2 linked regions of the Oryctolagus cuniculus genome follow. The protein of the gene in region 1 binds, or shares a complex with, the protein of each later gene. Links are inferred from orthologs where the notes say so. Each region holds a gene or a part of one and is shown on either strand. Other genes may lie near its edges.

Evidence for each region.
Region 2: TADA2A (region 1) and SGF29 share a complex: the UniProt entries of both Homo sapiens proteins name them as parts of the ADA2A-containing complex. The link is inferred for Oryctolagus cuniculus from reciprocal best matches to the Homo sapiens genes TADA2A and SGF29.

The regions. Positions count from the first base shown.
Region 1 is NC_091448.1:38,177,488-38,183,219, forward strand, and holds part of TADA2A (transcriptional adapter 2-alpha), read left to right. Parts: intron 1-1,106; coding exon 1,107-1,178; intron 1,179-2,802; coding exon 2,803-2,935; intron 2,936-3,430; coding exon 3,431-3,474; intron 3,475-5,732. UniProt on the Homo sapiens protein: Component of the ATAC complex, a complex with histone acetyltransferase activity on histones H3 and H4. Required for the function of some acidic activation domains, which activate transcription from a distant site. Binds double-stranded DNA.
Region 2 is NC_091450.1:7,540,567-7,546,747, reverse strand, and holds the start of SGF29 (SAGA-associated factor 29), read left to right. Parts: upstream 1-2,195; 5' UTR 2,196-2,414; intron 2,415-3,625; exon of another isoform or gene 3,626-3,791; intron 3,792-4,908; exon of another isoform or gene 4,909-5,109; intron 5,110-6,181. UniProt on the Homo sapiens protein: Chromatin reader component of some histone acetyltransferase (HAT) SAGA-type complexes like the TFTC-HAT, ATAC or STAGA complexes.

The DNA of each region.
Region 1 (5,732 bases):
CTGGGACTAGAACCCGGTGTGCCGGCGCCGCAAGGCGGAGGATTCAAGCTTTAGTCTTGAAAGGTTCTCTTCCAAGGCTCTCCATTTTGTCCTCTTGCAGCTACTTCTTGTGTAACATTGCAAGCATTTGTCTGAGCCAAGTTGATTGTCCTCACCAACACCTTCTTTGGTTGGCGTTCTTGATGTCATTTGTACTGAATGCCTGATCGTTTACTTCCTGTCCCATTTTATGTGTCACTTCAGAAAACCACACCCCATAGGTGCCTAGGCTCTCCTTTGTCCTCTGCTTCAAAAGCACCCACATGTGAGTGTTGTATCATATCATAGCAACATGACCTGTGTTCAGAGGAGGCAGAACCTTTTGGTTTGTGGAAAACACAATGCTCTTTTGTCACTACAGGAGAAGAGCTCTGAAGAAACTAACTGGGGCTCACATACAGAGCTTTTGTCCTTCCCTTGTGCAAGGGCCACATTAAGTAATCCCAGAGATCTCATAAAATCTCAGTCAAGTGAGTAGAACTTTCAACAGAAGATAGGTAGAGCAGGAAAAACTCGGGGACTTAAAAGATGACATTCACGGGACAGGCGGCTGTCACTGCTTGGGACGCCTGCCTGGTTTGAGTGCTGGTTCCTCTGCGTCCAGTCCAGCTTCCTGCTAATGTGCACCACAGGAGGACGCAGATGGTAGCTCGGGGACTTGGGTCCCTGCCACCCCTGGGAGACCCAGGTAGAGTTCCAGGCTCCAGACTTCAGCCTGGCCCAGCTGGCTGTTGTAGGCGTTTGGAGAGTAAAGCCGGGATGGAAGATATTTCTCTGTCATTTTGAATACTGTTTCAGGTTATATCGGTAGCTCTGGTAGACAGATGAGTTCAATCAGTTCGCTGTAAGTTTTGTAGGAAACAAGCCATCTGTCTCTTAGAGACAGCAGCCAGAAGAGGTTTTCTCAGCTCTTAGGTAAAATTTCTAATGAGAAGTTATCAGCAGATAGGATTCCCCAAGTGAAATTGCCCAACCTTTTCCAAAGCAGAATGACTGAAAACACATAGCAGAAGTGCTCATTCATATTGGTTATTTTTTTCAATTTTTCTTCTTCTTGGGGAAAACAGTGGAATTTGAGCTCCGAAGAGAAATCAAGAGACTCCAGGAATATAGGACAGCGGGCATTACCAATTTTTGTAGTAAGTATGTTTCGATCACATGGTGTATCAGAGAGCAAGTGTCTTCCAGACGCATCCAGGAAGTGTCTGAGGTATTGTGATACTTCCTTTAAAACAGGCTTTTCTTTTTCAGAATGAGTTTTCAATCTTTCCAGTAAACTTTCATCCCATTTTATCCATATAAGCACCATTATTTGGTTATCTGAAGTAGAATAACAGTCATGATATAAAGAAAAGAGATGTTGCTTTAGATTTAGGATTCTGCCATGGTTCCTAATAAAAAAGAGTTTTATATTCTAGGTTTTAGCCCCAGCCTTTCTAAGTGTATTAACAAAGTTTTATTAACCAAGCTTTGGATGGCTCTGGTACTTGCATTCCAGTTACTTGAAGTAATAGGAGTAATTGTATTAGTAGCAGCTAACATCTGTCAAATGTTTACTGTGCACCAGGCCCTATGCTAGGCATTTCACCTGGATTATGTCTTGGAACTCTTATGACCAACTCATGAGGTACTGTTATTTCCATTTATTGAAGAAACGAAGGCTTGAAGAGATTAAAGAGCAAGTAAATGTTAGAGCCAGTTCATCAGGGAAGGCCATGTGTTACTACAGTACTTTGAGGCTAGAGGGCTACACTTGGACTCTCCTCTTTACTAGCTCTGTGATTCTGTTCAAGTTTCAATTTCCCAAGTCTCAAGTTGGTGTGAAGATTAAGTTAGAGGTAGTGTAAAAATGTGGCTCAGTGCCTGGCACACAGAAATCCCCCATAAATGGCAATTTCTGTTGTTCTGCTATTATTGTAGGAATGATCTTGAGCATTCACTCCCTCTTCCTGTTTGAAGTCTGAGACTTGAAAGCTATCATCTACTACCCACAAGAAGTAGCTGTGTTTCTTAACATAGCCCTGTGGGTGTAAGTTCAACAATTCTTTCCTTTTAACAGTGGAAACCATGTTTGAAGTGAAATTTTATGTGAAGCTACAAACTACAAATAGGTCATAAGTGGAATTACTTTGGTTGACATTTGATGTGCCACTTATGAATGGAGCCCAGGACTCCCAATATTTGGCACTGACTTTGCTCTTCAAAGTCACCTCGTAGTGTCCTGAGGCTCTGTGTGACACGGTTGGAAACCCGTTGTTACGGTGACCTTTGTGAATGTGGAGAAAGCATCCCACAACTCTTAGGTGCATGTAGAGATGGATGCTGAATTTCAGTTACCTTCTGCTGGTGGCCTCTGGCAAGTATGGGATAGAAAGTGGTGAGTGGGCACTTTTGTTTAATTCTGATTGGTTCTGAAGGAACAGCTTATGCTTATGGCCCTTGTGACTTTGAAATAGATATGAATTAAAAAACCCAGAAAGCAAATATGACAGTAGTCAAATTGCTTTTTTAAAGTGGAAATATGAGTATTATTTGTGCTTTTCTGGTTCCCTCCTCTCCTCCAAATTTCGTAAAGGTAGAACAGGAATAAAAATATTTCAGTTAGTATCAACAAAGGGATTTCAGACTAGGAGAACCCTGCTTTTGCTCTTGGAAAAATAGCTGTGAAAGCAGTTTTGCAAAGAAAACCAAGAAAAGCCAAACAGGAATCCCCGTAGCTCTGCTGCATTGTCATTGTGGTCATCGTATTTTCTATGCCTTCAGGTGCCAGGACCTACGATCACTTGAAGAAGACACGAGAGGAGGAGCGTCTGAAACGCACCATGCTCTCCGAGGTTCTGCAGTACATCCAGGACAGCGGGGCATGCCAGCAGTGGCTCCGCCGGCAAGCCGACATGTGAGCAGTGCTGTGAGCTCCTCCCTGGTGCTGTGAGCGCACCGGTGCTGTGGAGCCCCTCTCGGGCACCCTGCATGCAGATGACTGCAGTCCCCTCAGAAACAGGGCAGTCCTAACAGTTCTGAGAAGTAGAGCTGGCTTCCTGGGATTCCCCCTTGCTACGTTGCTCTTACTTTTAAAAATGAGTGGGTTTCCCTAGCCTCCCACCTGGGCCCTCTCCGCCTGGATATCCATGGTGTGATTCCCATTGAGAATCGTCCTGCTAACCCTTCCCCGTGACGATATCAGTGGCGTTCCAGGGGTAAGAGCTCTCAACAAATCCAGGGCTCCTTTTATTTTCCCTCAGAACAGATTTTCCTTCCCGGTCAGTGTAGTGAGATACCCTGGAAAACATGATGTCTTCAGAGTGACCCACCTGAGGAATGGTCCCCAACCCCATAGGGACTTTGGAAGTTGTCTTTTGACCTGAGTCTAAATTCCTCTTCCTCACTACAGTGATTCCGGCCTGAGTCCTTCTGTTCCAATGGCTTCAAATTCAGGTAATTATTTCTCAGGCTGGAAATAGTCTTGATGGTAAAGTCTGCATTATGGGGGTGATGATGACCCCAAAATCCCACCCAGTGTAGACCAAGGCACTCAGGCAAGTCCAGTTTGTAAACATCTGCAGGTTTCTGGAACCTTCCCTGGGCAGAAAGGAGTGTCCTCAGGGTGAGAGGACAGAGACAGAGGAAGGAAGAACAGTAGAGAAGGTAGCTTCCTTATTTTACCAGTGTCAGCGGGCAGTCAGTTTATGGCACTTGTATCTGCCACACACTCTGGAGATTTGTCTTGCAGGAGATCAAAGGTTTGTATCCAGTATGAGCAAACAAACTGTGTTACTTGCCAGAAACTTGAGGATTTCTTTTCTTTTTTTGACACGCAGAGTTAGAGAGGAGAGAGAGACACAGGGAAAGGTCTTCCTTCTTCCGTTGGTTCACCCCCTATGGCCAGTGCTGCACCAATCCGAAGCCAGGAGTCAGGTGCTTCCTCCTGGTCTCCCATGGGGTGCAGAACCCCAGCACTTGGGCCATCCTCCACTGCACTCCCTGGCCACAGCAGAGAGCTGGCCTGGAAGAGGGGCAACAGGGACAGAATCCGGCGCCCCGACCGGGACTGGAACCGGGGTGCCGGTGCCGCAGGCGGAGGATTAGCCTAGTGAGCTGCAGCGCCTGCCGAGGATTTCTTTATAAATAAGAAGCTTAAGGTTTTTCTGTTTCTTTGCTTTACCTCGCTGGGTATGTCCTATTTTGAAATAAGTTTGTAGAGCAGGATTCAGCTGGCTGCTATCTGATGATCTTGGTGTGTAGTGATCAATGACTAGGAATTTGGAAAGATTATAGTTATAAAATTCTGACCCAAGATCATTGACCACTTGTTTGTTTATTTAGGATTTATTTATTTATTTGAAAGGCAGAGTTAGAGATCTTCCATCTGCTGGTTCACTCTGATGGCCAGAACCAAGAACTTCAGCCAGGTCTCCCATCTAGGTGGCAGGGGCCCAGACATGTGAGCCATCTGCTGCTGCTTTTCCCAGACCATTAGCATTGAGCTGGATTGGAAGTGGAGCAACCAGGACACAAACCAGTGCTCGGACGGGATGCTAGCATCACAGGCAGCAGGCTTCCCCACTTCACCACAACACTGGCCCCTTAGAGTGCTTTGCACGTTCTCTTGGTGGTCATCTGCCCCTGCTCCATATGCTAGATTGGCCATTTCTCCTAATTAGAACATGCAGACATTCTGCTGAGCAGAGACAGCAGAGCCGTTTTACCCATTCTCTGGCAGCTTGCAGCAGCAGAGCTTCTGAAATCTCTCAGTAGACTGAGGATCTAGATGGGACTCAGGTAAGGTCGCTTCAGGAGTTTTTTGGTTTTCTCCTTTTATTCCTCTGTTGTAAGTAATTACTCTTTAATGCTTAAGAGAGAGAAGGGAGACTTTTTACTGAGTCACCAAGACAGTGAAATCCAAGTTTTATTTTGTAAATTTCTTACTTCCAACCTAAATACAAAAATACAAATAACTTACTACTGGTTAATTAAAATGAATGGCTAACATGATCATTCAGCTCTGGTGTTTGAGTTTTCTGAACCATCTGCACTCAGTCTCTGTTTCTTACTGGCCTGGCATGGGCTTCCTCCACTCTGCATTTAGTGTGAGGAGACCCCTTGGTCTTTTATGCTCCGAGTTGCTCTTAACGTCATGAAATGTTAGAAGCCTGGCATCACTGACTGTATCCTAACCTCTGGTGACTTGGGACTTGGGAGGCACCATGCTATTGTACTTCTTTCTGAGCATTTGGGATAAGCCCTCATTCCCTTTGTTAGTATTCCAGAGAGCCCTGGTTTCCAAATGATCAGCTTATAGTGGTGCCTCCCCTTCTGCTGCCCCACCTAAAAGACATCCCCTTTACAGCTGGTGAGCGTCCTACATACTCGTTTGCTGAACTCACTCTGTCCATCCCCAGCTAAATCTTAATCCCAAACACACATTGAAAACAAAACCAGAACAGTTTTGCACATTCACTTCCCATCTTGGCCTGGCCAGTGAACTTCTGCTTGGGTTTCTTTCTCAGCTTGTGTGAGTTGACCTTAGCCCAGCTGCTTTGCCGTATAATGGCTCATTGTTCCTGGGAGTGAATCTTTCAGGTAAACAGGGCTGCTTTGGAATGAACAAATTCTCACTCACATAATAAATAAAGGCTTTTTGCTGGCCTAACAATCTGCCTTTGATCTGGAGGCACAAGGTGCTTGGTTAATTG
Region 2 (6,181 bases), on another chromosome or scaffold:
CCAGGGAAATATTCACAGAGGCCACTAGGGGGCAGGCGTGAGACAGTTCACAGCAGCTCCGTGGTACCCAGCCCGCAATGCAGACATGCATAAGTGCAAATAACTAATCCGCGAATTAAGTAAGGACAGATCTCAACAGAGTGCTGAGTGGAAGAAGAAAGAAGGAACGCGAGGGTTAGGATACCGTATAAGTGCGTTTAAAATGCACACAATAAACAATGTACGTGGTCTTTTTTAAAAAATTTATTTACTTATTTGAGAGGTAGAGTTAGAGAGAGAGAGGTCTTCCATCCACTGTTTCATTCCCCAAGTGGCTGCAATGGCCACAGCTGGGTCAGACTGAAGCCAGGAGCTTCCTCTGGGTCTCCCACGTGGGTGCAGGGACCCAAGGACTGGGGCCATCCTCTACTGTTTTCCCAGGCCATAGCAGAGAGCTGGATGGGAAGTGGAGCAGCCGGGACATGATTTAGTGCCTGTATGGGACGCTCATATGAGATCCAGCTTCCTGAAAATGCCCCTGGGAAAGCAGCAGAAGATGGCCCAAGTGCTTGGGTGCCTGCCACTCATGCGGACGGAGTTCCTTGGTCCTGGCTTCAGCCTGGCCCACTCCTGACTGTTGTGGCCATTTGGGGAGTGAACTAGCAGATGGAAGATCTCCCTCCCTCTCTCTCTCTCTCTCTCTCTCTCTCTGTGTGTGTGTGTGTGTGTGCGTGTCACCCTGCCTTCTAAATAAATAAAGGTTTTAAAAATCAATTAATGGCCGGCGCCGCAACTCACTAGGCTAATCCTCCACCTGTGGCGCCAGCACACCAGGTTCTAGTCCCAGTTGGGGCACCGGATTCTGTCCTGGTTGCCCCTCTTCCAGGCCAGCTCTCTGCTGTGGCCCGGGAGGGCAGTGGAGGATGGCCCAAGTCCTTGGGCCCTGCACCTGCATGGGAGACCAGGAGAAGCACCTGGCTCCTGGCTTCGGATCAGTGCAGTGCACTGGCCGCAGCGGCCATTGTGGGGTGAACCAACGGAAAAGGAAGACCTTTCTCTCTATCTCTCTCTCTCACTGTCCACTCTACCTGTCAAAAAAATCAATTAATAAATATATACTTTCCTAGGGGTTGTGTAAAAAATTGTGATGCTAGGCCGGCGCCACGGCTCACTAGGTTAATCCTCCACCTTGCGGCGCCGGCACACCGGGTTCTAGTCCTGGTCGGGACACCGGATTCTGTCCCGGTTGCCCCTCTTCCAGGCCAGCTCTCTGCTGTGGCCAGGGAGTGCAGTGGAGGATGGCCCAAGTCCTTGGGCCCTGCACCCCATGGGAGACCAGGATAAGTACCTGGCTCCTGCCATTGGATCAGCGCGGTGCGCCGGCCGCAGTGTGCTGGCCGCGGCAGCCATTGGAGGGTGAACCAACAGCAAAGGAAGACCTTTCTCTCTGTCTCTCTCTCACTGTCCACTCTGCCTGTCAAAAAAAAAAAAAAAAATTGTGATGCTATAATGTGGGGCAGGCGTTTTGGCTGAGCAGTTAAGAGGCCACTTGGGCTGCCCACATCCCACATCAGAGAACCTGGGTTTTGGCTGGGCTCTGCTCTCACTTTCAGCTTCCTGCTAATGTGCACGCGGGGAGACAGCAGATAACAGCTCAAGTAGGTAGGTCTGTGCCACCCACGTGGGAGACTTGGATTGAATTCTGGGCTCTTGATTTCAGCCTGACCCAGCCTTGGCTATTGCTGGCATTTGTCGGGTGAACCAGTGGACGGGATATATCTCTGTATCTCTCTGCTTTTCAATTAACATAAATAAATAAAGTTTGCAAAATACTATGACCGCCTTCTGATGAACTAAATATTTGCATGTGCATATCCTTAATACTTTGGGAAGACTCCCTGAAAGCATGATTTCTGGCTCTAAATATCGACATGTTTTTTAATTAATCCTTGCTTTTTAAAAATCTGCCTTTATTTTTCCAGAGCATTTTTAGGATCATAGCAAATTTGAGCTAGAAAGTTTCCGTATATCCTGCCGTCCCCCCAACCACAAGATGCTCACTCTTAAATTGCTTTGCTTTTTGTTTTAAAATTGAGGCTTTTTGAGAAGACGCTAAAATAAATCAATAATAAATAAGTCTTGCAAAATGAAGTTTCAGTTAAGAGTTGGGCACAGGTGTCAAACTAAAAACTACATTTCCCAGGGGGCAGCGCAGCACGTCACGGCGGGAGGGTCGCGCCTGCGCAGACGGGTCCGCCGCGCTCGCCTAAGCTCATAAAAGGGAAAAAAAGCGTGTGTGGTTCTCGACGTGCCGCGAATCTTCGAACGCGAGTGCGTTAGCATCCGCAGGCTCGGAAAAAGCGTTCGAGGGACCGCGCCTGTTTCTCCGTCGCTGTTTCCAGCGCGCCGAGGTTACTTCGCCCGGGACTCGGCAGGTGGGCATGGGTCAGGCCCGCGGCCGCCGGAGAGGCTCGGGAACCAGGGCACCGGGTCCTTCCTGCGCGCCCCCGTCCCCCGTCCCGGCTTCGCCTGAGGGGGCGCTCGGTGGGGTGCGGCGCGCACGCGCCCTGGGCGGGAGAGGCGGGGTTCGGCTCGCGGCCGTGGCGGCGGGGCCCGCGGCCGGGCGGCGTGGGGTCTGCGCGTGCGCCCTCGGGCCCCGGGGCGCGAGAGTGGGGAGCCGCGGCGCGCGCAGGTGCGGTGCTCGGCCAGGTGCGGCCGGGCGAGGCGAGGGGCGCGGCCGGGACTGCAGCATCCTTGCTGAACCAGTGCCAGGGTGGGGCAGCGCACCCGCCAGCCCGTCCACTGTCCTGACACCTGCAACCACCTGGTTTGCGCAGGTGTGTCGCCCAGGGCCAGCACGCTTCCTCCTCAGAGCCTCTAGCAGCAGCGCCCGTGCGTGGCGGGAACGCCTCTCCCCTTGTCCCGCTGGCCGCCCCTTTGCTTTTAATGCGTGTCCCACCCCAGAGCTGCATCCCAGATCTCTTCTCTGTGGCTGTCCGCTCCCTAGACATTCCCGATTGACGCTTTAAATACCCTCTGCGGTCCTGCCAACTTCTTGGATGCCTGTCTTCAGCCCGTGGACTCCCTGCGGAGCGCGCTCCCTGCTTTGAAATGGCTGCTTGGCCTCCCGGAATGTGTCCAGAGCTAATTTTGAGTTTTATCCTTTGCACATCGGTGCCTTCCCTCGTCTGTCTTGTTTTTCCAGCTTCTCGGGCTGGAAAGCTTGAGCTATGCCTGGTGTCTTTGCGTCTCAACTCCCCTCCTCCTCCATCCATCTCAGTCAATGTTGATTGAGGCTTTGAAATTTCGCTACTTGATGGGTAGCTGTGGGCATCCTCTTGGCCAGCGGCTGAGTCCTCTCTGACTGGGGTTTGTTTTTTTGACATCTGGCATCATTGTATGTTCAGACTTGCCTGGTCCTTTTTTGTCTCTTTTAGTGCTTTGTGTTACCTGCAAGTAAGTTTTTGGAACTGTGTTGTATTCCTTTCTGGACTGTGTCCCAGGTCTTCCATTGCTGGTTCACTCTCCAAATGGCCACAATAGCCGGAGCTGTGCTGATCTGAAGCCAGGAGCCAGGAGCCAGGAGCCAGGAGCTTCTTCTGGGTCTCCCATGTGGGACTTGGGCCATCTTCTACTGCTTTCCCAGGCCACAGCAGAGAGCTGGATCGGTAGAGGAGCAGCCGGGTCTTGAACCAGCGCCCATATAGGATGCCACCACTGCAGGCGGAGGCTTAGCCCACTACGCCACAGCGCTGGCCCCTCCTTGTTACTTCTAATCTGTCAAGGTTCTCCAGGGGCCAGCACATGGCACAGTGAGTAAAGCTGCCGCTTGCAACAGCAGCGTCCCACATGAACGCCTGTTTAAGTCCTGGCTGCTCTGCTTCCCACCCAGCTCCCTGCCAAAGCACCTGGGAGGCCAGTCGGTAATGGACCAAGTGCTTGGGCCCCTCCCACCCACGTGGAAGACGGGGATGGAGTTCCGGCTCCTGGCTTCAGCCTGGCGCAGACCCAGAAAGCAGCCATTCGGGGAGTGAACCACAGGTGGAAGATTTCTGTCTATCTTTTCCTTTCTCTCTGTCACTCTGTCTTTCAGATAAGCAAACAAATTTTTTTTTTTTTTTTTAACAATGTTCTCCAGAGAAACAGAACTGAACAGTTCTCTGTAGTTAACACAGAGAGAGATGTGTGATGATGGCCTGGGTCACAGGACGGTGGAGGCTGAGCTGCCGTCCATGACTCAACACCTGCGCATTCGAAGCCCAGCAAAGCCAGTGCCGTTCCAGTGCAAGCCCAGAGGCCTGAGAACCAGCAGGCTGGGCGATGCCCATGCTGGAGGCACCCTCCCAGACCCACCTGCAAACAGTGTCTCACCAGGCAGGTTGACACATAATAGGCACCATCACATTTTCCTGTCTCTTTTTTAGTTGCCATGGTGATCACCATTTTTCTGGTGACACTTTTGGTATAGTCACAATAACCGACCAGTTGATGGGTGGTGTGTAAGAGACGAAATGCTCCTACTTCTGTGAGTTGTTTTAGGACTGAGCACGTTGAAGTTGTGGCAAAATTGGAGTTCAGAGGAAGAGCGTAGGTTTTAGAATTGGCAGCCTTGTAACCCCACCTCAACTGCTTTTTGCTGTTACCTTGTTAAACGTAACCCGTCTGAACCATTTTTTGGTTGGTTGGTTTTTTTTTTGTGTTTTGTTTTTTTTAGTATTTATTCATTTATTTGAAAGGCAGTTTTAGAGAAACAGGGAGAGGTGGAGAGAGGGGTCTTCCATCCATTGGTTCATATCCCAAATGGCTGCAGTGGCCAAGACTGGGCCGGCTACAGCTGGAAGCCTGGAACCACATCCAGGTCTCTTCCCAAGTGGGTGCAGGGGCAGGTACCTGGGCCGTCTTCCACTGCTTTCCTGGGCTCATTAGCAGGGAGCTGGATTGGAAGCAGAGCAGCTGGGACTCAAACTGGGGCTCGTGTGGAGTTGCTGGTGTCACGAGCAGCAACTTAACCTGCTGCGCCACAGCGCCGGCCCCTCCCATCCGAACTTCTACCGAGAGAGTGTAACCCTTTCCCGTGCTGTCCACGCCTTCACCGTTGTGGCTCCGTGGGGCTCTGGCCTCGCTCAGCAGGTAATCTCTGGTCTAATCCGTTCCTGGGGCCTTAGCTGCTCATTCTGATTCGTCCGCTTCTGGTCTCTGATCTAGACTGCAGGTCGTTACTTCACGTGCTTCTAGCCAGTACAGCTGGACGTTTCCAGAGGGACATGTTCTGCTTCACGTGAGATGCGTTACGTAAAGCCCTGGTGCTAAGCCATGTAGGAAGAAACACATTGGTGTCACAGGCAACTGAAGGAAAAAGATAAGTTGGTGCAGCCAGCATCGTGGCGCAGTAGGGTTAAGAGATCAAATCGGAGCTGCTCCACTTCCTAGCCAGTTTCCTGCTATTGGGCCTGGGAAGGCAGTGGAAGATGGCCCAAGTGTTTGAGTTTCTGCCGCCTGCATGGGAGGTGGAGATAGTTCCTGGCTCCTGGCTTCAGCCTTGCCCAACCCTGGCTGTTGCTGGCATCTGGGGAGTGAATCAGTGGATGGAAGATTCATACCCCCACCCCATCTCTGTCTCTCTCTCTGTCACTCTGCCTTTCAAATAAATAAATCAGAAGACATATTGGACTTTATATTAAAGATATGTGCTCCCATGGATACAACTCAGTAACAGAGATAACTGAACTTGAAGGTGGGCAGAGGGCCGGCCTCCAGAAGCCATACATACACGGCCAGCAAGTGCATGAGAAGGTGCTGCATGCCCTCAGCCATCAGGAGACCCCCCCCCCCGGGCCCCCGAGGGTCTGCAGTCATGGAGACAGCAGCCTGGGGTGGCACCCACACGGCTGCTGCCAGTTCTTCTGTGAAGCGTGGAGTTGCCACGTGATCCATGCCCGGAAGATGGAAGCTTACGTCTACACAGAAACCTGGCTGCGTGCATGTCAGCGTTACTCAGAATAGCTAAAATGTGGGCACCACGCCTGTCCTTAGACTGATGAATTATAGACAGAGTGTGAGGTAGGGACTATTCAAGACAAAATGAAGTGCAGGAGAAGCAAATCAAGAGAGAAAGTAGACTCATGCTTGGCTGGGCCCGGGCACCTGTTTGGTTAGCGCGTTCAGAGTTGTGCTGTCGCCACGGGCAGCCTGCAGCCTTTGA